Linked DNA regions of Drosophila melanogaster. The protein of the gene in region 1 interacts with the protein of each later gene in a pairwise test. Each region holds a gene or a part of one and is shown in the gene's direction. Other genes may lie near its edges.

The links.
Region 2: the proteins of CG15784 (region 1) and CG14868 interact in a two-hybrid assay, tested with the Drosophila melanogaster proteins (one large-scale study listed by BioGRID).
Region 3: the proteins of CG15784 (region 1) and CG31111 interact in a two-hybrid assay, tested with the Drosophila melanogaster proteins (one large-scale study listed by BioGRID).
Region 4: the proteins of CG15784 (region 1) and CG14074 interact in a two-hybrid assay, tested with the Drosophila melanogaster proteins (one large-scale study listed by BioGRID).

The regions. Positions count from the first base shown.
Region 1 is NC_004354.4:5,426,553-5,433,624, forward strand, and holds CG15784 (uncharacterized protein), read left to right. Parts: upstream 1-3,018; 5' UTR 3,019-4,127; coding exon 4,128-5,792; 3' UTR 5,793-5,974; downstream 5,975-7,072. Other genes in the region: CG16756 (uncharacterized protein), read left to right, coding at 976-1,138, 1,254-1,403, 1,469-1,614.
Region 2 is NT_033777.3:15,366,230-15,372,221, reverse strand, and holds CG14868 (uncharacterized protein), read left to right. Parts: upstream 1-2,276; 5' UTR 2,277-2,443; coding exon 2,444-2,509; intron 2,510-2,571; coding exon 2,572-3,156; intron 3,157-3,208; coding exon 3,209-3,316; intron 3,317-3,374; coding exon 3,375-3,462; intron 3,463-3,520; coding exon 3,521-3,659; intron 3,660-3,715; coding exon 3,716-4,286; 3' UTR 4,287-4,406; downstream 4,407-5,992. Other genes in the region: Ccm3 (cerebral cavernous malformation 3), read right to left, coding at 5-70; CG6136 (uncharacterized protein), read left to right, coding at 409-1,200; CG34404 (uncharacterized protein), read left to right, coding at 4,788-5,075, 5,626-5,875, 5,933-5,992.
Region 3 is NT_033777.3:25,053,456-25,058,498, reverse strand, and holds CG31111 (uncharacterized protein), read left to right. Parts: upstream 1-2,321; 5' UTR 2,322-2,401; coding exon 2,402-2,464; intron 2,465-2,614; coding exon 2,615-3,361; 3' UTR 3,362-3,423; downstream 3,424-5,043. Other genes in the region: stac (staccato), read right to left, coding at 595-874, 1,317-1,399; CG31109 (uncharacterized protein), read left to right, coding at 4,000-4,143, 4,320-4,457, 4,525-4,566, 4,631-4,903.
Region 4 is NT_037436.4:18,862,750-18,867,931, forward strand, and holds CG14074 (uncharacterized protein), read left to right. Parts: upstream 1-3,475; 5' UTR 3,476-3,512; intron 3,513-3,570; 5' UTR 3,571-3,589; coding exon 3,590-4,600; 3' UTR 4,601-4,682; downstream 4,683-5,182. Other genes in the region: CG6865 (uncharacterized protein), read left to right, coding at 972-1,038, 1,507-1,845, 2,159-2,454, 2,517-2,672; Dysb (dysbindin), read left to right, coding at 5,131-5,182.

The DNA.
Region 1 (7,072 bases):
TTAGTTAGTTAAATGATGCAAAGGAGTAGACACACGCACTCATGTTAAATTGTAGTTCTCAGGAGGTTTGCTATTATGTCCTCGATTTAATTGTACTATTTTTTTAGTCATTAACAAAAAGACACTGAAGAGAAAATTATGTTTTATTAGCTGTAAGTTCTTTTGTTACCAAAATTGCCCATTATGACAGAAAGTTACTTAAACATACTCGAGTTGGGGGTTAAAAAAATGGATCGAAAGGAAAAGACAGACCGCAGAATGGATAGCTAAAAACGGATAAGCACAAATGAAATGGAGGCGGTTAACCAAGAGAGAAACTATTTGCAGATGTTCATAAGTTATAATAACGAATACAAATGAAATAAAAAAAAACCGATTGCTCGCTTCTGCCAATATATTTAACTTTGCAGTAACATAACATTATGTACACCTTAATTATATATAATATATATACACTATATTACGGGCCCATATACACATACCGCCCACGTAGATATGTATTTACAAGTTCAGCCGAAGGAGTAAATGTGTTCTTGGACCTACGTAGCGAAAGAATTGGCAACAGGAGAGATTTATACAATAGCGAAGAATAAATAATTATACACACAGTTTATCTTATGATCTAGGCTTAACTATCGTTTAATTTATGATAACTAATCAATCTATGAACTCTCTTGTATATTAAAGAGACAAAAGATTTATGAACGCCGCCGCCTGTTGTGATTTCAATAACCGAAAACGGAAGAGCTTCGTTTCGGGCAGGGGAAGATTAGGCATCATCATGGAGTAAGCCATACCGATTCCATTTAGTACGCCCCCAGCTTATCGGCCACCGGCTCTCCCACTATCTGCCTTCCATCTGACCCCATTTGATTCCATCCCATTCCGGAGTCATTTGGCCAAGGTCACGCGTCGCGTTCGCTTGATTCTATGGTGCGTCCACAGGGGCCATCGCCATCACCAGGCAGTCGCAATATGAGAGCTGCGCCATTCGGATCGTGGTACTGGCTGGGATTGGGATTGGGCCTGCTTCTGGCCATCGAGTGCGGCGTGGTTTCCGCCAAGCGTTTCCTGCGCTGTGAACTGGCCCGCAAGTTGCTCGATCAGCATGGTTTCGAACGCAGTCTGCTCTCGAATTGTGAGTGGGAAACCCAGATGTACATATATTAAAAATGCTCTATACTGTATGCTCTATCTTAAGATTAGCAAACTATTATAAATGGGTTGTGACTTTTGATTTTGCCCCATTTAAGGGATTTGTTTGCTAGAGCACGAAAGCGATCTGGATACCGGCAGGATTACAACCAATGCGAATGGATCTCGGAACTATGGGCTGTTCCAAATCAATGGCAGGTTTTGTCAGGAGGGAAGGCGTGGCGGCATTTGCAATGCCAAGTGCGAAGGTTTGTGAGGGCTGCTCTGGCAAATCGTATTCTATTCAAATTTAACTAAATATAAATATTTTTAGATTTTTTGGACGAAAATTTAAGGGAGTCGGTTACTTGCGCCAAGCGCATCCAAACCTCGGATGGTTTTCGTCATTGGGCAGGATGGCAACGATATTGCCGAAACGCCCAAAATCTGCCTAATCTTAAGGTTATCTGTGGGATCTAGATGTAATTAATTTAATGATTTCAATTTGTAACAAATAAATATTATATATGTATATGCCGTGAAATAATTTCAAAAGACTAAATAGTTTCAATACCTAAGAGAGCTCTGCTTCCAAAATTAAAATTATATTATTACATTTTGATAAATTCGCGTTTACGATACAGTCGATTGTTCCGAATCCAAATCGATTTCGGAATGTGTTGAGTTTCGGGTTCAACAAAGCTTACGATCAGTTTAATACTTTAACACTCTGGCAACCCTACTCGCTCTCTATTTCTCTCCGAGTTTCGTTCATTATCAAGTGAACGAAAGCTTTAAGCTTTCTCGCCAAAAACTTTGTGGAGCAATGGAGTGGCACTATCTCGCTTACGTGGGGCTTTCATTTGGCGACATCGGCCGAACAAATCGGAGCGTTTTTTCGCAACGTGTTCACAAGATATCAAAAGTCATTGAGAATTAATAAAATATGAAAAGTCAAGAAAAGAAAAGTATATCCCAGTGCCCAGTGCCAGAGATTCCGTTCTCTTATAAAAGAATCGCATTTCATGGATATATATACATATATCCTAAACAATCCCTATGGGATGATATTGTGCCCTATTGCGATCGCCTTACATAAGTTGCCCATACCCCAACCAATATACATAAGTATATACTATGTGACTCATATTTCCCTGCCCCCCAAACGGTTCTCCAGTTTCTGAGAAACTGGAAATGCTATAAACAAGATCCAAAGATCTGATGCCTCAGTCGTTGAGCTGCGTTGTGATAAAGTTGATGCAAAAATGAAAACTCAAGTGTATACTCATTTTTTGTTTTCGTGTTCAAGTCCCAAGAGGTCCCATGAAATTTACAAACATACATAGTTGCCGAACTATGTTTACTCCCATTTTATGAATAAGTGCTCCCCTGATATGGGTTTCTCAAGAAATCTCACCAAAACACCCTGCTGCCATATTAAAATTCTGTGAATGATAATGAAATTGAAGAATAAATAAATATATTTCGTATTGTTTTCAAACAAAAAGTTCCAAATATTGCCTATAATGTGAAGTCCCATTTTGCGTATGAGAAGTGTGATGTTTTGAATACCCCTTTTTAAATCTGTGATTTCTTACGTTTTTCCGTTTACCAAATATTTATGAAATTTTTAAAACATAAATAAAAAATCATATGCGTAATCAGTATTTTCTGATTTGTGGTGAAATTCGTAAAGAAGACCTTCAAAAATATATTGATGTGTTATTGGTGCAAATATAAATGTATATAATATATATAATTTATATATAATTTTGAAATTCTACTTATCAAAAGAATCGATGTTGTGGTGATGTGCTGATCTCTATGCAATAAATTAAATAGTTTTAAGTGTATTTTTTCAATATAAATATATAAAATAAAAAAACAGCCTGTGTTGAATTTTTGTTGCATTGGAATTTAAGTTCCAATATGAAAAATGTCATTTACAGATGGATTATCTACTTAGTGCATGAGTGATAACTAATCATGGAGCATTATGAGCATATCCATCTGAGAATGTAACGAATGATCCCTGATCCCTGATCCCCGATGCCTAAATGTCCTGCAAAGTGAGTTCGGTTCCTTTTTGGGCTGTGAACTTTGCCAGGAAGACCACCAATTCCATTTTCCAGACTGTTCTTTATCCATTTCGATATTTGCAGTGTCTGGCGAAATTCAGCATAGACTTAATTTCGTTAATTTGAATCATTTGTTTAGTTTTTTCTTGTGCTGCGTTTTGTGGAGCTATTTCATCACATGACGAAACTCTTGCAAAAAATTCCCCACTGCCAAAGCTTTTTTTGAAGCGTTATTCCGGTTTTATTTAGCTTTGTTTTGTTTTGTTTTGATAATCGGAGAACGACGCAAAATCCACGTACTCGATAGCAAATTGTGAAAACAAACGCGCGCGTTGGTATTGGTGAGAGAGCAGCGAGCTACAGACGAGCCTCCCTAACGTGGACCTAGATCAACCGCACTCACGTTAGTCTCAATCAATGTGTTGCAAATAATATTATTTTTTTTTTGTTATTTAGCGCCAGTTTTTAGAATATGTTAGATGCACATTTAGATTGCAGATTTTGTTTATTTAGATACGTTTTATATTTCATGGATTGAATTTTAAGGCCAAGATTCACACACCTATAAATTTGCGAAGGGCTTTTTCTGTTGTCTATTGAAATGTTTAATTTGTATTGAGGTTCCACTGTTCCCCGTTTTTGTTCTGCGACGCATTTCAGTGCTCCACCAGTGGGGCGTTCTCACCGCTTCCTTGCCCCTTTGCCCCTTTGCCGCCTTGCCGCTCCGCTGGCGCCGCCAACCGCCGACGCCGCTGAGCGTATAAAAAGTGCCGGCCGGCAAGCGAATGGCATCAGTTTGCAAGCTTTCAGCTTTGTGGCATAGCGTATCCCAGCGAACTCTAAACCGTTAAACCAAGCAAAAAAGCAACTAGTATTACACCAGTGAAGGTAAATCGCATTGAAGATACTATCAACATGAGCGAGTTGTCCAGACTGCAGCAGCAGCAGCAGCAGGATCAGGATCGGGAGCGTGTTTCCCAAGAGCTGATCGACTGCGATATTGACTTTGTGGAGGATACGACCTCCAAGGTGGAGGAGGAGGCCAGGATGCCACCAGCCAGTTCCAAGCGATACACCAAAGCCCTGAAGAAGGTGACCAAGGTGCAGCGCATGCTGGAGCAGGCCATGATCCTGCTGGCCGAGGAGGAGGCCAGGTGTCGGCAGCAGGAGCAGGAACAGGGCACCAAAAGGACCAAGAAGCAGCTGAAGAAGAAGGCCAAGAAGGACAAGAAGAAGGCCAAGAAGCTGGCCAAGCAACAGGCCAAAAAACAGGCGGAAGAGCAGACGGCGGCTGGCGAGGAGCCCTCCAACACCTCCAGCTCCAGCTCTTCCAGCTCCAGCTCATCCAGTTCCAGCTCCTCCAGTTCGAGCTCCAGCTCCGAGGACGAAGAGGTATTCTATAACGGTTACGGCTGGATCAGCAATCCATGGCGCCGAGGACCACATGGCCATCACGGCTTCGGTCGTCGTCTTGGCCACGGTTTTGGCCACAAGCATGGTCGCAAGCATGGCCACAAACATGGTCACGGGCCGCATCATCATGGCCGACATGGACATCATGGACGGCCGCACCACCACCATCCGCATGGTCACCACTTTGGTCCCCATTTTGGACCACACTTTGGACCTCACGCTGGGCCCTCTCCCTTTGACTTCGATCGGAGATCCTTTCGCGGACCTTGGCATGATCAGTCCCAGTTTTTTCAATGGATGGGCCTGCCGTGGGCCCTGGACAATGCCGCGGCCAATCGGAGGAGCCACTCGCTGCCTAGACTATCTAGGCGCGACTGTCGTGGAGATCTCGGATTCGGATTCGGACCAGGATACGGATACGGATATGGCCAAACGCGTCCACGACATGGCCGTCGACTAGAGAGATCACTTTCCCGTTCAACATCCGGTTCGCTGGAGAGGAAGCACTGCCGCAAGCCGAGGTCCAGTTCCAGTTCCAGCTCCAGTTCTTCCTCGGAGGATGAGAAGAAGAGGCAGAAGTGCAAGGGCAAGGGAAAGGGCAAGGAGAAGAAAAGACAGCAGCGCTCCTCATCCAGCTCCTCATCGAGCTCCAGCTCCAGCTCCAGCTCCAGCTCCAGCTCCAGCTCCAGCTCCGATGGCGAAGTGCAGAAGATTCCCCATCGACGCGGGCACCACTTCGGACCTCCACATGGCCACCACCACTTTGGTCCGCGCCATGAAGGTTACCGTCCCCATCACGGCGGACACCATGGCCATCACTTTGGTCCACATCATGGTCCATTTGTCGAACATGGACATGGCCCCCAATTCGGACCATTCTTTGACGTTCCCCAAAGAGAATCCGGTGAAGGACCGCGTTTTGAGCACCAGCCCCGTCCGGAGTTTCCTATTGCCCATCATCGACCACCACCAGCTGAGTTCCCTCCAGGTCGTCGCAGTCGTTCTCTGTCCCGATCCCACTGCCGCAAGGAAAAGCAGGAGAGTTTCCCCAAAGTCGAGAGGGAGGAGCGCAAGAAGGGCAAAAAGAAGCACGGAAAACGCGCTCATGGACATGGGCATGGACATGGACATGGACATGGCCATGGACATGGACATGGACGTGATTAGGCAATCGCAGCCAGCGTTTAAGATGCATTAAGATTCCTTCAATACAACCTCCCACACATATAACCTTCAATATTACTATACATTTAACACCCAGAAGCTTCTATTCTATTATTCTATAAAAAATCATTAAAAAAACATCTAAAAAAATGAAATTAAATAAAAAAAAAACAAAACTCAAATCTATATACTTCGTATTTTTTATGGAAACTTAATTTATTTATTTTCTTCTCCACGGTACAAGTGCATTCGTTAAGCTCAACTATATAATACCCATTACTTTCTGAGTGCGATTGCAAATGACTCAATTGCATTATTAATGCAGCTGGCGGAAATGAATTAAAACTACACTTTAAACTAGATACATTACGAGTGAGTAATTACTCTATTTGTGTTGCTTAAGTTGGGGAAATGCGAATGGGGGGCTTATGGACATTACGCACCGCGATAAGATTGGTGTATTCCTGCAGAGGTTTTTCCCCAACCAAATGACAATGCAATGGCAGCGATAACAAGCTTGATAGGCTTATCAAATTATAGGTTTTTCACCTGGTTAAATATTATTGTTTTGACACTGCAAAACTCGCAAATTAACCCATTTTAGATTAATTGGTTGGGTTTATATTGTAACAACCTGTGGATGAATCGCGGACGCAGAATGTTGACTGCATTCTCTCCTTCAAGTGGGTACAGTTTGTGGTCGCAACTGTTCTCAGCTGCGGAGGGGAAAGCCTGACAATCAGAGATCCAGCATTCTTGTAATTAAATGTAATATGTCCAAATAAATACACCTTTTAACTTTATTGTGTTAACAACTGAATAGTTAGCCTAACTGCTTATATTGCATATAAGAAAAACATTAATTTTCCTTTAGCTAAAGCTAATGCTTAATCCGCTCTTAAGCGCTTTTAAGAGAAATACAAATACTGGGAACAGCAGTGGGAACACTAAGCGGCTGCGAACACTGTTCCCAGTACCCCAGGCAACTGTGCCCGATTTCTAATTACTGTGTTGTTGGTTGGTTGGTGGGTGGTGGGTGGTGGCCAAATGGTTACCGCTTTTGTCTGGCAGTCGATGGAATCAGTTTTTAGATGGTACGCACCCAACCATTGGAGCTGTCGGCCAAAGTTGAAGAAACGCCGGGTAGTTTGCCTGCGTGGCCAAAGTGCCGTTTAATAATGGAACAAACGCAGTGCCACGGTGAGTTTGTGCCTTTAGCGCTGAACTCCTGACCTCTGACCAGCCGGCGGACCAGGAAGTGAGCGCACCTTTCCATTGCCAAA
Region 2 (5,992 bases), on another chromosome or scaffold:
CTACCTGGGAGAAAATGGGCCGCAGTATGACGGGCAGAACGAGAGACGACGTGGGCTCGCCCATTGTCATTGCTACTAGTGTGCTTGGTCTTCTCTACTGGTGCCTAGGTATCCTGGCGCATGCTGCAGGAACCCAGTTGCGATTCCCGTTCCGTGCGATGTCCGTCGCTTCGCTCGCACGACGCTCGCAAATCAAATTAAAAAATTAACAAAAATTGTTCACAACAGCACAGGCACAGTGTTGTTTTTCAATACTGGAAACTAACTGGTTTTTATCGATGAACGTGTCGTGCTTGGTTAGATATCGATTGCTTCTGTAGAAGCTGATGGTAGAATCAGCTGATTTACATAAACCTATCGGAACTCTGCAATAAATTGGTTTATTTTTGTTTACCTGTCCTTTTATCAATGATAAGAGAAATGTCCAACCACGATATCAAGCTGGAGGTCTGCGTGGACTCCATACGATCGGCTTTTGCCGCCGAGGAAGGCGGAGCTTCACGCATTGAACTGTGTTCGGCATTGGGCGAAGGTGGCTTGACACCCAGCATCGGTACCCTAAAAACTATTAAGGAAACGCTCACAATGCCCATTTACTGCATGCTGAGGCCACGGCGGGGCACCGACTTTGTCTACAGCGACGAGGAGATGTGCGCCCTGCTCACGGACATGGACTTGCTGCGGGAAAACGGTGCCGATGGCTTCGTTTTCGGATCCCTGAATCCGGATCGCAGCATCAACGTGGATCAGTGTCGGCACGTTTTGCTGGCGTCCGGTGGTCTGCCAGTGACCTTTCACCGCGCCTTCGACCTCACCGACCAGAAGTCCATGGACGAGAATGTCGACATGTTGCGGGAACTAGGTTTCCGACGTCTGCTGAGCAGCGGATTCCGACCCACGGCTGCCGATGGCGTAGATTGCCTGGCACAGCTGATAGCCAAACATCAAAGAGACTTTATAGTTATGCCCGGCGCCGGCATAAAGGTGTCCAACCTGGAGGAGATCCTCACGGTCAGTCGCTGCCTAGAGTTTCACGCTTCCGCCCTGGACACGGCTGGCGAGGACTACGTGGCGCCCACCACCACGCGAATGGAGTGTGACGTGACCATGGGCAAACAGGACGTGGACCCCTACTACGGAACCAACTCCATCGTGGTGCGAAAGATGGTTACCATTGCGAAAGCGATGAGCTCCCGCTGAAAATCATAGTACTTAACCTATCCCTAAGACTTAAATTATTCCTTAACTGTTTGTTTACATCATATATAACTAGTATATACCTTTTACTTAAGTAGTCTTATCCCTAAAATTCTAAATTCTAAAAAATAATCCAAATTTGATTTGATTTGATTGTGCTGAAACAACATGATTGTGGAGATAGTAGAGAATCCTGCTGCTCTAGAACATAATTCTTTTAATGATCACTTAAATAATGCAGAAAGGGTATTGCATAGAATAGAAGCATACAATGTAAAGCTAAATAATCATATGAGGAGATTGAAAGAACTGCTGGCCAACAATAGAAGATTGATTTCGGGGCTATCGTACAATGAGCACAGCATTAAATCTTTATTGGAAAACAAAGCTCAAGATAAACAAATAGAGTAAGCTAAAGAAGGAAATATGAACTCGGTTATAAACTAATATATTTTTAGGCGAAATTCAAGTAAAAGAAGGTGTCATCTTCGTAGGACTTGCAAGGCGACCAACATCAGAGAGGCATGTTGGACGCAATGCAAGTCTCACATGGAGCCTGAAGAGGAAGAGCAAACCCAAGACGTGGTGGAGATCCAAACGAAAACACAAACATCTAGAAGCCGTTCCGGAAAAGTATGTGAACGGCAGAAAGGTGGTAGGGAGCTGAGTTCATATTACGAGCTAAGTGAGGAGATTGGTTTCAAAGGTAGGTTTTTATCAATTTCTGAGATCTCTTTCTTGAAATCCAAGTATATCCCAAGTGAAATGCATGCTAAAGCTTGTCGAAAAGATGGATTTCAAAACGGCCACAATTGCCGAAGTGAAAACCATTCGCAGAAGGGTGTTAAGTGCAATATCAAGTCGCCAAAAAAACCTGCAGTGAGCCAGAAGGAGTTTGGTCGCATCTGATATGTATGTCGAAAAATCCGTATTCCTACAAATAGGCAAATTGAATGAAATAAATTGAAAACTCTTTTCAAAATAATGACATTAGCTGTTTAATGATATTTACATATGAGGACAAGAACATTAATTTCAAATTAGGCTTATCGATATGAATCGAATTTCATGCGCAGGCGCATCTAAAATTGATTCACTCTAGCTGTGTGTTTTGGAACAGAATGGGGTCCTTGGAGCCCGAGAAAGTGTGATACAGCTGGCTCCTCCGGACAGCCCTCAGTTTACAATCACTGTCAATGTCAACATCTCGAGCTCGGCAAACGGAAAACCCACTCAAGCATTCGGCATGGACTTGGACGATGTGGCTAGTCATCACGGATTCGGTCAACATATGGCCACGTACAATGTAGAGGTGAGTCCGCCCCCACCCTTCGAGCGAACCAAGTGCGTTGTATGACCGACCCACCCTTACAGACCTCGGCGGTGCACAGGAAACTTCAAAGCAAGGTGGAGGCACTTCGAATCCTGCGCCAGGAGCTGGAACAGTTTCGCGTGGAGCGAGACCAGTACAAGCTGGTGGCGGAGACCCTGCAGCTGCGCTACTCCGCGCTGAAGAGTAATAGCGAACTTCTGGCTGTCGGTGGATGTGGAGCCCTCAGCGAGAACTCCAGCCTGGCAGCCCTGCTCCACGAGACGCGCGAGCAGAACCTAAAGCTCAGCACCGAAGTGGAAGCCCTGAGGCAGCGGCTCAACGAGCTGCATGGCGACATGGAACTACTCCGGGAGACGGAGGCCAGCAACAAGTCGCGGGTACAGGCAATGGCCAGCGAGAATGCCGCTCGCAACAAGGAGGAGCTGCAGTGGCGTCGTGAGCGGGCAAACTTTATCTGCCACCTGGAGGGCCTCAAAAAAAGGAATGCCCAGCTGGCCTTCGACCTGAAGGCGGTGATCGATGAGAAGGAGGAGCTGATAACCGAGCGGGATGCCTACAAGTGCAAGGCACACCGCCTAAATCATGAACTCTTTGTGGCCCTCAGGGCGAAGAAAACGCATCCAAGGGTGAGTTAACTGATGCTATATAGTACTTACTTGATAGTTATTGATTTTCCAGCTCCTGGACATCGATGGTGTTTTGCTGGAGAACAAGTACCTGCATGAACGTGTGAAGATCCAAGACAGCGAACTGGAGCTCACCAAACAGAGCATCAATAAGTACAAGGTACTGGTATTAGTTAAGACTTATTACCATTTTATTTATTTATATTTAAATCATTCAGACAATGTTGGATGCAAAACGAAAGAAGGGAATTGTAAAACTTGGCGGTGGGAGCACAAATGAGGACACCATTCTAAGCCCCCGGCAAGGTGAGTAATTATATGGTGGCCACCTCTTTCATGCCTTTCTAATTTGTTTGTACCCTAGTGAAAACAATCCTCGAGAGTGGCATTGAGCTGCCTCAGAAAACCGAGAGCTTAAGCGATCTAAAATCCTTGTGTCTGGCCCTGCTGGACAATCTCAACGACAAGAACTTGGCCCTGACGCACCAAAAGAAGACCAACAAGTAGGAAAATCCAGCTGAAAGTTGATATATATTTCATAAACCCATATTTCCTGCAGAATACTGGCTGGCAAAATGACGGAGCTGGAGCAGCGGTGGCAACAACTCCTCTCCGGAAACGATGACAACGCAGAGGAGCAGGAGGAGGACGTGGAATATGGTTATGCGCCTTCGCAGCTGCTCCTCAATGGCTATTGTGCCGCCATGGTAGATGACGCCGACATCAGCAGCACTCCGTCCATTGAGCCAGATAACGAAGGCGTCGCCATTACAGCGGATCATGAAGATTCAAAGAAGCACAAGTCCGTTGAGGCTCTGCATTCCGACGATGGAATGTCCTCGCTTTCAACGGAGTCCGTGGATTCGTCTGTGTACGGTGCAGATGTGCAGCCCGATGACTTCCAAAAGTCTTCATCCGCCACAACAGATTCGGGCAACTGTGGATTGAGCAGCCGCTGCAACGGCACGCCACGAATATCCAGTGCAGTGGCACGGGAACGTATGGAGGATCTGAAGGACCTGCCGCCTCACCTGGCCACTCTGGTCCAGAAAGCACTTCACGATCTGGACATGCGGGACTACGAGGCTATGGTGACGATACGAGCAGAGAATCTGGCGGCTATTCCTTAGAGAAAAACTAGTTCAATTGAGGACTCCCAAAGAAATGGATGAAACCATATCTCAGTGTTGACAAAAGATATAATACATATATATATTACCGCAACAGCGTACAATAAAACCAGATTATATAAAATAAATCACTTTATTCAATCGATATTGCGTTGAAACTGGATATGTACAATAACTATAGCATACAGTTTTAAAAGACGCGCCCAAGTTATCGATAAATAATATGCGGAGTGTTGCATACCGTTAGCATAAACACACTCTCACACACTCTTATTTCTGGGTATACATTTTCTGATAAGAATGCAATAAATATCCCGACTGGTTGGAGTAATTTCGAGTTTTTGAATTAAAAATGCCTTAAGAAAAGTTTTTAATGAGCCATGTAGAGTTAACACCAGTGCCACATATCCTGGGAATGGAGCACCAATCAAAAGTCATCATCAAGCGGCCCAAATCAGGCCAATTCTAGTCGGAAAGTCGTTGCAGCCGCCCATTGCCACCATGTCGAATGATGTGCAGGTCGCCCGGGTGGCCAAGATAGCTACCGATGTGCCGCGTCGCAGTGGCAAGCAGCGTGACTCCAGCGGATTCCAGGGCAAGCACTCCGGCAGCGCGGCTGGCGAGGATTTCGAGTACGTCTTCGGTAGCATTTCGCCGCGCGGTGGAGGACCCGGTGGCAGGCACTTGGTGGGATCCTCCGACCTGGACTCTCCGGAGCACACGCAGCGGGACACCACCGAGAGTGACAACAACATATCCAGCTGCTCCACGCTAGACATTGTCAACAAAGTGAGTAATGATGCCCGCACTGAGAGAAATAACTAGATCTTAAATCAAAAAAATCAATATATTAATTTGCAATGATACATTGGTACTAAACATGATCAAGTTCATTTTAAATTAATTTTTAAAATGATCACAAAATATTTAAAAATACCTCATTATTGTGTAGTTTAAAATAAGAAACGCAGAATTTTCAATCATTGGTTTTCAAAGTGTTTCGGGCTTTAAATTCGGTTGGCGTCCAGTGCGCAGATGCGTGTGGAAGGCTGAGGGTCAAGTTGCAGCGGCGGAGAGCGCGGATGCATCCGCGGTCGGATGACGACGTAATCGCCAGTCAAAATTTTCCACTGGACCATGATTTCGGAGCAACTGCTTCCGCGCAGCTTGAGCTGCCTGTGCTGCAGCGATACGCCATCGGTGCCCAACGACAAGAGACGCAGTTGGGAGTATACGCTGATGGCTCATCCTCTGGCCAGACGGCCCATAAACGTGATGACCCCAAGAATAACCACTTAGAAAGCTCTAATCCGCCTCTTTTCTTTTGATTCACCTCCAGGTTGAGCAACTGTCGGTACAACAGCTAGAAAACCGGGTGCGGGATCTAACGCAGCGTCTGCAGCAGGCGGAAAGACAGCTCACTGAGAGCAACACAGAGCGGGAAATATGCCACAAGCGCTTGGAGGTTGTCAGCCAGGCCCACGAGTGTCGCATCACAGAGATGCACTGTGTCATCGCCGAGTTAAGCAAGAAATTGCGCAGTAAGCAGGACCACGTTATCATGGAGGAGCAGGAGCCCGACGGCAGCGGTGCGTAGCAGTTTCAAATGAGGGAAACAAACCCCTAACCGACAGTCTTGTTTTCAGAACTCAGCTTTCAGGAGGGTTCAGTGTACAATTCCGAGCTTAACCTCACCAATCCTGATG
Region 3 (5,043 bases), on another chromosome or scaffold:
AAACTGGAAAACTGACCTATGTCGCAACTTCCTCGGTAGTCGGGCCTAGGAATTACACATGACGTGAATGTGACCAGGCTCAAAAGCCATCCATATTCACCAATACCCACCATGGTGGATAGCTAGTTTGGGAGTCGACCTGGTAAAACCCAAACTGAATGACGGAGCTTTATCTTGATGTACTTTCACTCGAATCCTAAAAGCTACAGTGCATACTAACCCAACAATTCAAAACGAGTTCGTAAAGCGGCGATTATCAATACTCTATCATGAATATATATGTATATATATATTAGGGCGGATTAAACCATAAATCATCCTTAAACTGAGTTTTACGAATTCACAAGAGCTCGTATGAATCACATGTATAAATATGAAAAATCTCTTAACGTACGCATTTGGGAGTATGTAAGATACTAAATTAAATAAATAATTTAGTAATCTTATGATTAAACTATAGGTTACGTTTAGTATAAGCTGGAGCTCTATTAGTTGCACCAGTTGGAATGCAGTTTGATTGTCTGATTCGTTGTGACCTTTTAATGGCTTTGTCAACCTGATTCACAGCACTGATTTCTCAATTACAAAACTTACATTCATCACTGGCGCCGAGTCCAGAACTGAAGTGCTGATATCCTTGTCCGAACTGGACGCCAGTGTACTCTCGGTGGCAAAGGTATCGATGCTGGTGCACTCCGAATCCTGGCTGAGTTGCAAAGTGCCATCGGGACTCTCGTCCGAATCTTCTTCTCCGCCGCTGCCATTTTCCTCCAAGGGAGCCAGTGAACTTTTGAGGACGCCCTCATCGATTTGGGACTTCTGCCGCAGTAGGGATCCAAACTTTTCGAAAAATCCATCATCTCCGTCTTGCAGTCTGCGGAAAAAGTGCAATTAGTAAATAATTCGAAAAAAGTCATTAAATATTATCTGCACTGGCTAGTCATCACTTAATGGGGATTTCATTTCGATTAGGGATACTCGTACTATGAGCAAGCTTATGTAGATGTATTTGAAAGCCCAGTGAAAAATACCCTAAAACTGAGTCATGTTTTAGTTGCGAGTGGGTGGTAAAATCGATCTGTGGCTTCCCCCACTCCCTTACATCACTTGCCATTCCTCACGCACACACGTTAATTTCACTTGATAATCTTTAATTTATCTGATGACACAGTTCCAGTTCTCCAAAATGTTCATATTTGTCTAGAGAAATAGAAACACACATTTCGGCTCGTCTGGCGAACAAATGTTTGTCTATCGGTGAGTTTTCAAGTTTTCTACAGGTATGCGTGAGTCTGTATTTTATTCATCCAACTTACTGGTGTTCATGCTCCGTGGGTGGATTCATTTTGAGCTCCTGCAACTTGAAGAAGAAGCCCTTCCACATCTGCTCCTCGTCCATTGTGATGTTGCGTTTTTAGCTTCAGAGGCACTGAATCGAAATCGGAATCCAACAAGTGTCACCGGAGTGTAGAAACATACTAACGGCTTATTTGCACCGAAACCGAAACGAACAAACGATGTGATTCATTGCCAAAGCTGCTCTCCGACGTAGATTTTTCTCAGTGGTATTCACACGCTCTTCCCTACACTATCGCAAACACATTATAATGAGCTATGGATGTTTGTAGTATCTAACATTGGGCGAAAGTGGGGAAATGGGAAGGAACGGGATGATACATACAGACAGACACCTGTTGCCATGGTGATCGGACGTTTTTTCTAGCTCTCATGCTAATGATTTTAAAAACTTATAGTTTGTAACTCTTGAAATTGTTGAATGAAAATCCATTAAGAAGTTACCAATCATCAATGGTTCTAATGGTGGTAAGCCTCACGCACACCTGTTTATGTACATATACTCTTGAAGGGCTAGGTGTTGGTATTCTTGTAACTACCTTTGCAGACTGGTGCTTCCATGGTCAAACTACGCACTTTAAGGCACATTTTCAGATGCCAAGCTAAATTATGTGCGCAACTATTTAACTACTTTAAAAACATACCTTATTTTTTCAAATATCCTTAATTCCGAGCGCCGGAAGTAACTTTTTAACATGATTAAGTCCTTTGCAAGGTCAGAATGCCAGATTGAATTAGGCTAAGAGGATTTGCAAATCCATTAGGAATTTCCTTAATTTCAATTCGAATTAACGTCTCCGTTTGTTTTTTTCGCACCCTTTAAAACTTTATTTATATCTTTTAAAATAAACAAAGATTAGATTAGATCAGTTTTGTTTATTAATTTGGTATGTAAGATATACCAACATAAATGAATCTACCGAATACCGTATTTCGATAACTTACGAATGGCAGCCCTGCAGTCCGATAATCATAACAAACCCACGGCAATAACAACAAACAAATCGTATCTCTTGTTTTTGCTGAAATTATAAATTAAAAAGCAATGAATTTAAAGTATAAGCGGCGCTACGAGAGCTTAAAACGCTCCGTCAAGAGTTATCTACTGGTAAGATCTTAGAAACTAGGGCGAAGTTATGCAAACTTAAGAGTATTTACAAGAAACCTTAAGATTCCTACTCACATATATGTTTACATTATAGCATAAAACATTTACGGGAAGTTATATGATCTATTAACTTTATAATACCAATTTCAGGAGAACGCCGCCCTCACGGATGAGATCTGTCGTCTGCAGGCCGAACTATCTGTGACCCGATCCCAAAGACTTTACTTGATAGAGCGCCTCATGTTTCACGAGGGCTTGGAGAAATCCAACAGTGGACGACCCAGTGTCTCGAATGGAAAAAACGACGCCGCTGAAACCACAAAGAAATACAGTCCTGTAGTTTCGCATAAGAACCCCGTCGAAGATAAGCCAAAAAATGTTACAATTGTACGGAAAAAGAAGCCCATGTTTCCGATGAACCTAAATAATGTATTACTCCACTCACTGGGCGAGATTATATCAGTGAATCCCAATTTTCACACTGAGAGCTGGATATATCCCGTGGGATATGTGGCCACACGAATCTACGCCCATCCCAAGGATCCGCGCAAGAAGTGTGTGTTCACATGTAAGATTTTAAATAACGCCGGGATTCCTCAGTTCCAAATAATACCCGACAATGATCTGGATGGAGTTTTCTTCGGAGAAAGCGCCAATATGTGTCACATGGAGCTTCTAAACTCCATTCAGCGGTCTCCCTGCGTTAAAATTAAAATACCGTTCGACGTACAGGGCGAGGTTTTCTTTGGCTTGTCAAACCAAAAAACACAATCGCTGCTTATGATGGATCCTGCCTTTCATCAGTGCACGAATTTCAAGGGATTCGCGGTGCAGAATGTGCAGTCCTTAAACAGCGCGTCTTTATCCTTTGAGACGCTCCAGGGATTTCTATCTTGATAAGATCTGTTTTTACTATTTGATTCTCGATATAAGAATAATAAGTTTATAATATAAAGACGAATTTTATTTCTCTGATACAATCGTTGCGAGAAGTACTTAGTTATGTACCTAAGTATGTACCTGGTACATGATACGAAAACACTAAAAACCCGAAACAGCTGATCTGTTTCAATTCCATCTCGTCCGTTTCAAAATATACTTTCCAGCTGTATAATACGTTATAATACAGTTTAAAATATTAAATTATTACGAGTGTTTGGGACAGATTGGTTAACAATTTCCAGTTAAATAGATAACATATTATTCTAAAAACTCTTTGTCCCACTTCCGCATGATTCAATGTGCTAAAATCATATGTTTTATGTGGGCATTCGCGGTTATTTCAAATGAAACTGTGCATTTGTACAATTGTTGTCAACTATCGACTTTTCTATAGAAATGCCGAAAAAAACAAGCTGGCAACCTGCCGAGGCAATCGGAAATACAACCCTCGAATCGAAACATATGTACACAACACCTATCTGAAAAGTATTAAACAATATTTTGGGAAAGTTGTTTTGGCTAGCGTTAAATTAAACGACATCCCAACCAGCAGCTGAGGATATAGCCAACCAACAGAATCGGAATCAATCAAGATGGGGAGCATAGAAAAGGCGTGCATATCGGGATTTCTATGCCGACTGTGTTCAGAGATGCACCGCACAGTAATACATATTTATAGTGATCATGGCCAGCGTTTGTGTCTTGTTGAGAAAATCAACGGTTACCTACCAATTACAGTGAGTATTGCCAACTAATGGACGCTGCTGAAAAGGCGGAGCTACACACAAATCACGTTCCCATCGTCAAGGATGTTTGTGTGTACCCAATGTCAGCCATTCCAATAGTTTTTCCCAACTATCAGCATCTTGTTAAATAATTTATTGATTTATCACCTACTGCTCAATTGCACCAGATATCTCCGACTGATCCATTGCCAAAAACCATATGCAAATCATGTCTGCATCGCGTGGAGCAGCATTACTCGCTCCTGATGCGTCTGACGCGGATGCGGGAGGAGCGCAAGTTTAAGTTAATCAAATACAAAGCACAAGTAAGTAGTTGTAGTATTGTTCCATACAAGATAATTGTACCCAATACCTATATCATTGATTATCCAGAGAAATCCCTCGATATCCAGCGTGGAATCGGAAGAGGACGTGGTGAGTTGTACAGTTCAATCTATTGAAGAGGCATCATCTCACCCAATTCGTTCGGCTTTTCCAGATAAATTCAAGCTCGGTTCACGAGTTCCCCAATCGGAATGAGGAGGATCAAGCGACCCGCCGCAGCGAGTCGACGAGCACCCAAGCTGAAACTGGTCCACAGACCCAGGAATCCCAATCCCCCAAGTCAACAAAGACCGCAGTGTCCACACCAAACAGCAGCGAAAGCCACGATGCCAGTGGTGCTGGGCCCAGCAATAGAGACCGAAAAGAGACTGGCACAGGCAACTCGGAAACGGGTAGCACTACTCGGGAAGGAACCCATGCAGATTAATAACTGCTAACCTCGTCTCTGGTCGGTGGAGCTATATATACGAGTACTTGACTATGTATATATATAGACGCGTTTGTGTGTACGTACGTTTAGATTGGAATAAAGTAAGCATTTTATTTAATTGTCTAGTTAATTTCGAA
Region 4 (5,182 bases), on another chromosome or scaffold:
CCAGGTCTAAACTGATGGAAATATGACGTCTAAGGTTAGCTGCAATGTGCGAACTAATTGTGTCAAATGCAGGCAATGACATAACTGTAACGATTACGCAAATCCTAGAAACTTTTTTAACTTTCTTAAGATAGATTAGATAAATTAGATCTTGTAGGAACACAAAAATGCATTGTAAATCATAAGAACTGAAGAAATAAAAGATACTACATGCAAGCAAAAAGAAATTTAAAATCAAAAGAGTTGGTTTTGAATCATTTATAAAATTTTCTGTAGTTATGCAATAGCATTTCAGTTGATTAACAAGTCATAATAATATTTACACCCTTTTCTTTATTAACCATACAACAATTTCAATAACACCCTAAATACGTGCTAATCGCAATAATAATGTACTAAAATAAGGATAGAGGTGCAATAAACTCGTAGTGGTGGCATCGAAAATTCAGCATAAATATTGTCACACCTTTTGTCGCGCACTTTTCAATGTCATGAACTTCGCTGGGTCATAAAACGCAAAACACACAAAACTTTATTTCGGCCATTGTTTACTTTTGGGTTTGTTTTCGACTTTTCGGCAGCTCCTTAATTCACCCCCCCCCCCCTTGGAGCAATTGAAATGCCATAACGTGTGCACATGGCACCCATGCCCACAATACCAGCAAAAAAAAAAAAGGCGATGAGACAGGTAGTGCAGCGCAAAAAAAGCTCTCAGCTGAGGCAACAGGTGCCAAAGGCCCGGCTGCGACTTCCGTTTGTTATCAGGCCGAGAGAGCGAGCTTTCCGGCTAATCCGCATAGAACTCCGGACGACAGTGAAGTAAGTCAGTGGAACGGAGAGGCGCTGGACGCCCAGACACCTATATATAAATTAATTGCCGCACAGAATATTCGTGGCAGTTTCGTTTAAGCTTGAGCCGTGCTTAACGGGTTTTTTTTCGGGGCTAAGAACACTGGTTGTGCACACAGAAAATGTTGAAAATCGTATTCGTAGTCGCGGTTCTGTCGCTAGTGAAGTGTGCACAATCCCAAATTGCTTGTGAGTTGATTGAACAAATGTGACGAAAAGAGTAATAAGTCAAATATAATATGAAAAATAAAATAATTATAGTTCCTAAATTAGGATTCCTGGGAACTACCTTTTAACTTTTAACTTGTGTTTAATATTCCATTCATTTTTGCAGTCCTTAATATTTTAGGTTAGTTTATATCAATTAAGAAAGCATGATCTTTTAGCATTGTGGATTTATATGCTAAATTCACTGGATAAATCTAACATCTAATGTTCCAATTGCAACAGTTTATGCTTCCCTATTTGATAAGAACTCAACCTACAAATATTTCAAGATTCTATCAAAACTTGTATAATCATAAAACGTGCATAAGGAAAAGTTTACTAGATTATGAGAAATATAAATAAATGCGTTCTGCTTATATTAACTAATTATTTTCAACACTCCTTATCATGAACTCACGCAAATTGAAATTCCTCTGACTCCCATGACAGTTAGCAACCAGCCATGCTCGGTTCGAAATCCAAAAATCGTGGGAGGTAGTGAGGCGGAGCGCAACGAAATGCCCTACATGGTCAGTCTGATGCGTCGTGGTGGTCACTTTTGTGGCGGCACTATCATCTCGGAGCGATGGATCCTCACGGCGGGACATTGCATCTGCAATGGGCTGCAGCAGTTCATGAAACCAGCTCAAATCCAAGGAGTTGTGGGTTTGCATAGCATCAGGGAGTACCTCAACGGGATTGGCAACGGTCCGGATGCACTGAGGGTGGACTTCAAGAACATTGTGCCCCATCCGCAATACGACTGCAACGATGTGAAACACGATATAGGTATGTGTGTTTTTTAAGGGGTAATTGCAGGTTCAATTATTTTCCATATGTACAGAACTGAATCATAAATCAACAATATGACATTAACATGACATTATTTTTCAGTAAAATGAATAAAAAATTTTAATCTAGTAAAACACCATTAAAAATATGCGCTTAGGTTTTAAAAAAACAAACAGAAATACATAGGTAGGAAATAGTTTCAACAAAGGATATTAACATTAACCATAATGAATCAGAGACGAATCAAATAATACTTATTATTCTTAGTATTCCTTAAGCTATTGCAAATTGGTATTTTATTCTTTTACAGCCCTCCTGGAGCTGGTACAGCCAATCCGATTCTCTTCACACATCCAGCCCAGCTGCGTGGGATCCGAGGAGGGGCACCGAAGTCTGGAGCAGGAGTACGGAACAGTTTCCGGTTGGGGCTGGACGCACGAGAACCAAGCGGAAAACGATCGATCCGATGTACTGCGCAAGGCTACCGTTAAGATCTGGAACAACGAGGCGTGCGAGAGGTCCTACCGATCCTTGGGCAAGAGCAATACCATTGGAGAGACACAGTTGTGTGCCGGTTATGAAAACGGTCAAATCGACTCGTGTTGGGTGAGTATTCACTTGGCTGATACGGCACACATGTTATGCTCCGGGTTTACTTACCTTCACAGGCGGATTCTGGCGGTCCGCTGATGTCCAAGGAGCATCATCTGGTGGGCGTGGTGTCCACGGGGATCGGCTGTGCACGTCCAGGTTTGCCCGGAATCTACACGCGCGTCAGTAAATACGTGTCCTGGATGCAGAAAGTGATAGACGGCAGGAAATAGTTGGCCAGGAATCTGAAACATAAAGATTGTGATTCACCTGTGATATTAGTCGTACTCGATTATGTGATCTTCTTCAATAAACGTTACTTTAACCAACTAGAAATTCAATTTATTGCGGCCGGTCGTCATTTTTTAAACTTTAATCGATGATTGTGCCAATCGATATCGTTGGACTAATTTGTGGTATTTTGCAGAAAAGATTACTCTGACAATATTAATCGACAAGAATATCGCTAGTGTAGGAGGAACGGAGGAACGATGGAATTTTGAATAATTTATTCTTTCATTATTGAATTCAAAAAAATGCAATAACGTTTAAAAAAATATCTAACTACCTATGTACGACTTAAGTTCATAGGACTCAAGAAAGTATATGAAATATGCACTTGAAAACTTGGCTCCCCACGCTTACTGTCCCACCTGCTGCCCCGCCCGACCGACTGTCACCCGTGGCCCAACGAATGTCTTGACGTCTGCCCCGCCGTTTCCCTAAAGAAATGTCCTTAAAAGTGGTCACGCTCTACGAGTGGAGAAATTCCCGAAAATGTGGGAATAGTTAGTAAGATCTTTATTTTATTTTTTGCAATTCACCTCCAAATAACGAAAAGAAATAAATAAATAAAAAACGTCCCCATGTTTTGATTTCCACCGTTCCGTCATCGCCGCGAACTCATCGACGCTAATTTAACGCACATACAATAATCGCTTTATACTTAGTATTTTAAAAATACTTATAAGTAGCACTTACCGTCCGCGGTATTTTTTGTTTCGCAGCAATTGGTATTCAATTAAATGCCATAAACAAACACAAAAAATGGAAATGGACGCAGACCTAACAAAGTAAATATTTATATTACAATCCGATATATTTTTAATTAATTTGATGCTCTCACGTTAGTCAGGCGATTGCCGAGCTAATGCGCGAGATCGAAGGTGCAAATGCCAGTGTCAGCACCTCGAAACAAAGCGAACGCAAAGTGAATCCTCTGGGCAAACTAAACAAACGCTTCTTAGGCCGCACCATAAACACCGCGATTCGGCATAATGATAGAGAAAAGGAGCGCACACAGGCAAATTGCCGACAGAAGCTGCAGGATCTGGATGATGTGCACGAAAGGAGGAAGTCCAACTACTTTTACAGCCGCGATGCACCCAGAACTCAAAGTGTTGATAGAAGCAGAAGTTCCAGCAGAAGGCGCAGCAGGAGCCGCCACAAAAAGGCCAAGAAGCATCGCAGCCGAAGAAGAACTAGGAGCAGCAGAAGTTCAAGCCGCAGTCGAAGTCGCAGCAGTTCACATCGGCGAAAAAAGCGCAAAAAGAAGGTTAAAAAACACAAAAAATCACACAGAAGACGAAGAAGCAGCCAGAGCAGCAGCGGTTGCGATTGGGAATCCGCACCCAGCGAGTCGTTACGTATACCCCCGCCTTCAGATGTGTTCCTAAACCACTCCAAGCAAATGGCTCTTGCAGTGGCCATGGCCTATGGTCAATTACTAAACCCGAGCAGCCAAAAGAAAGCCAGCGAGTCTAAGGAACACTCCTCCTCTCCTATAAGCGATATATTCCGGGAACTTATGTCCGACGAAGAGGTGGACAAATCCGAGAAGCCCGAGGCCCTGTCCATTTCATCCAGCGACGAAGAGCCAAATGTTCTCACCATTAAAGTAAGCTCGAGCTCCGAGTCCAGCGGCAATAAATCAAGCTCGGACTCAGATTCAGAAGCAAAGAACAGCGTACGCAGCTGTATAACCCTAGAATCTGGTGATAATAGTGATATTGAGATAATTGAGTACCATGAAGAGCCCAAAAAAAAGGCATGTGAAACTGAACCTGCGTCTGAACCTGAATATCCGTCTCAATCGGATAGCACAAATCAACAAGTGGACGATAGCACAGCTGTCACTACAGTGGACCTGACCGAGGATTAATTAGGCTAAACTTTAGTTAGAGAATCGTTATGTAAGATCAGAATGAAATTTTAAAGGAAACAAACTGAAGTTGAACCAAACTAAGAATATTGTTTTTATATTATTATTACAGATATAAGCTCTGCCATAGATAGATTCATATTTGGTTGGTTTTTTTTTAAGTTATGTTTAATAGTAATATACTAAATATACCACCGAATGATACCCTGTTGTGTCTGTTTATAATATCAACTTTGGGTTCATTTTTTTATTTAAATTATAAAATAAAAATGCAAAATTTGAAATGTTAATAATACTTATTAGTTTTAGTAAGTAATAAAAACCACGTGCCAGAGCTCTTGCCATAGTTGATATGCCTCTCGTGTACGGCAACAAACTGTTGCTCTCTCTCTCTCTCTATGACCGATTTTCTCTCAGCACCTGCCCGAACAGCTGATTCTTTATTTACCACTCAATTTTCGATGGAAAACGCCAGCGCGAAGACAATTAGAAATCGCTAAGTTAAATAAATAGAGATCCGTTGTCGCAAGATGTTCGGGAACCTGAAAAAGAAGCTTAGCAGTGCGATCCAGGAGGGCCTGG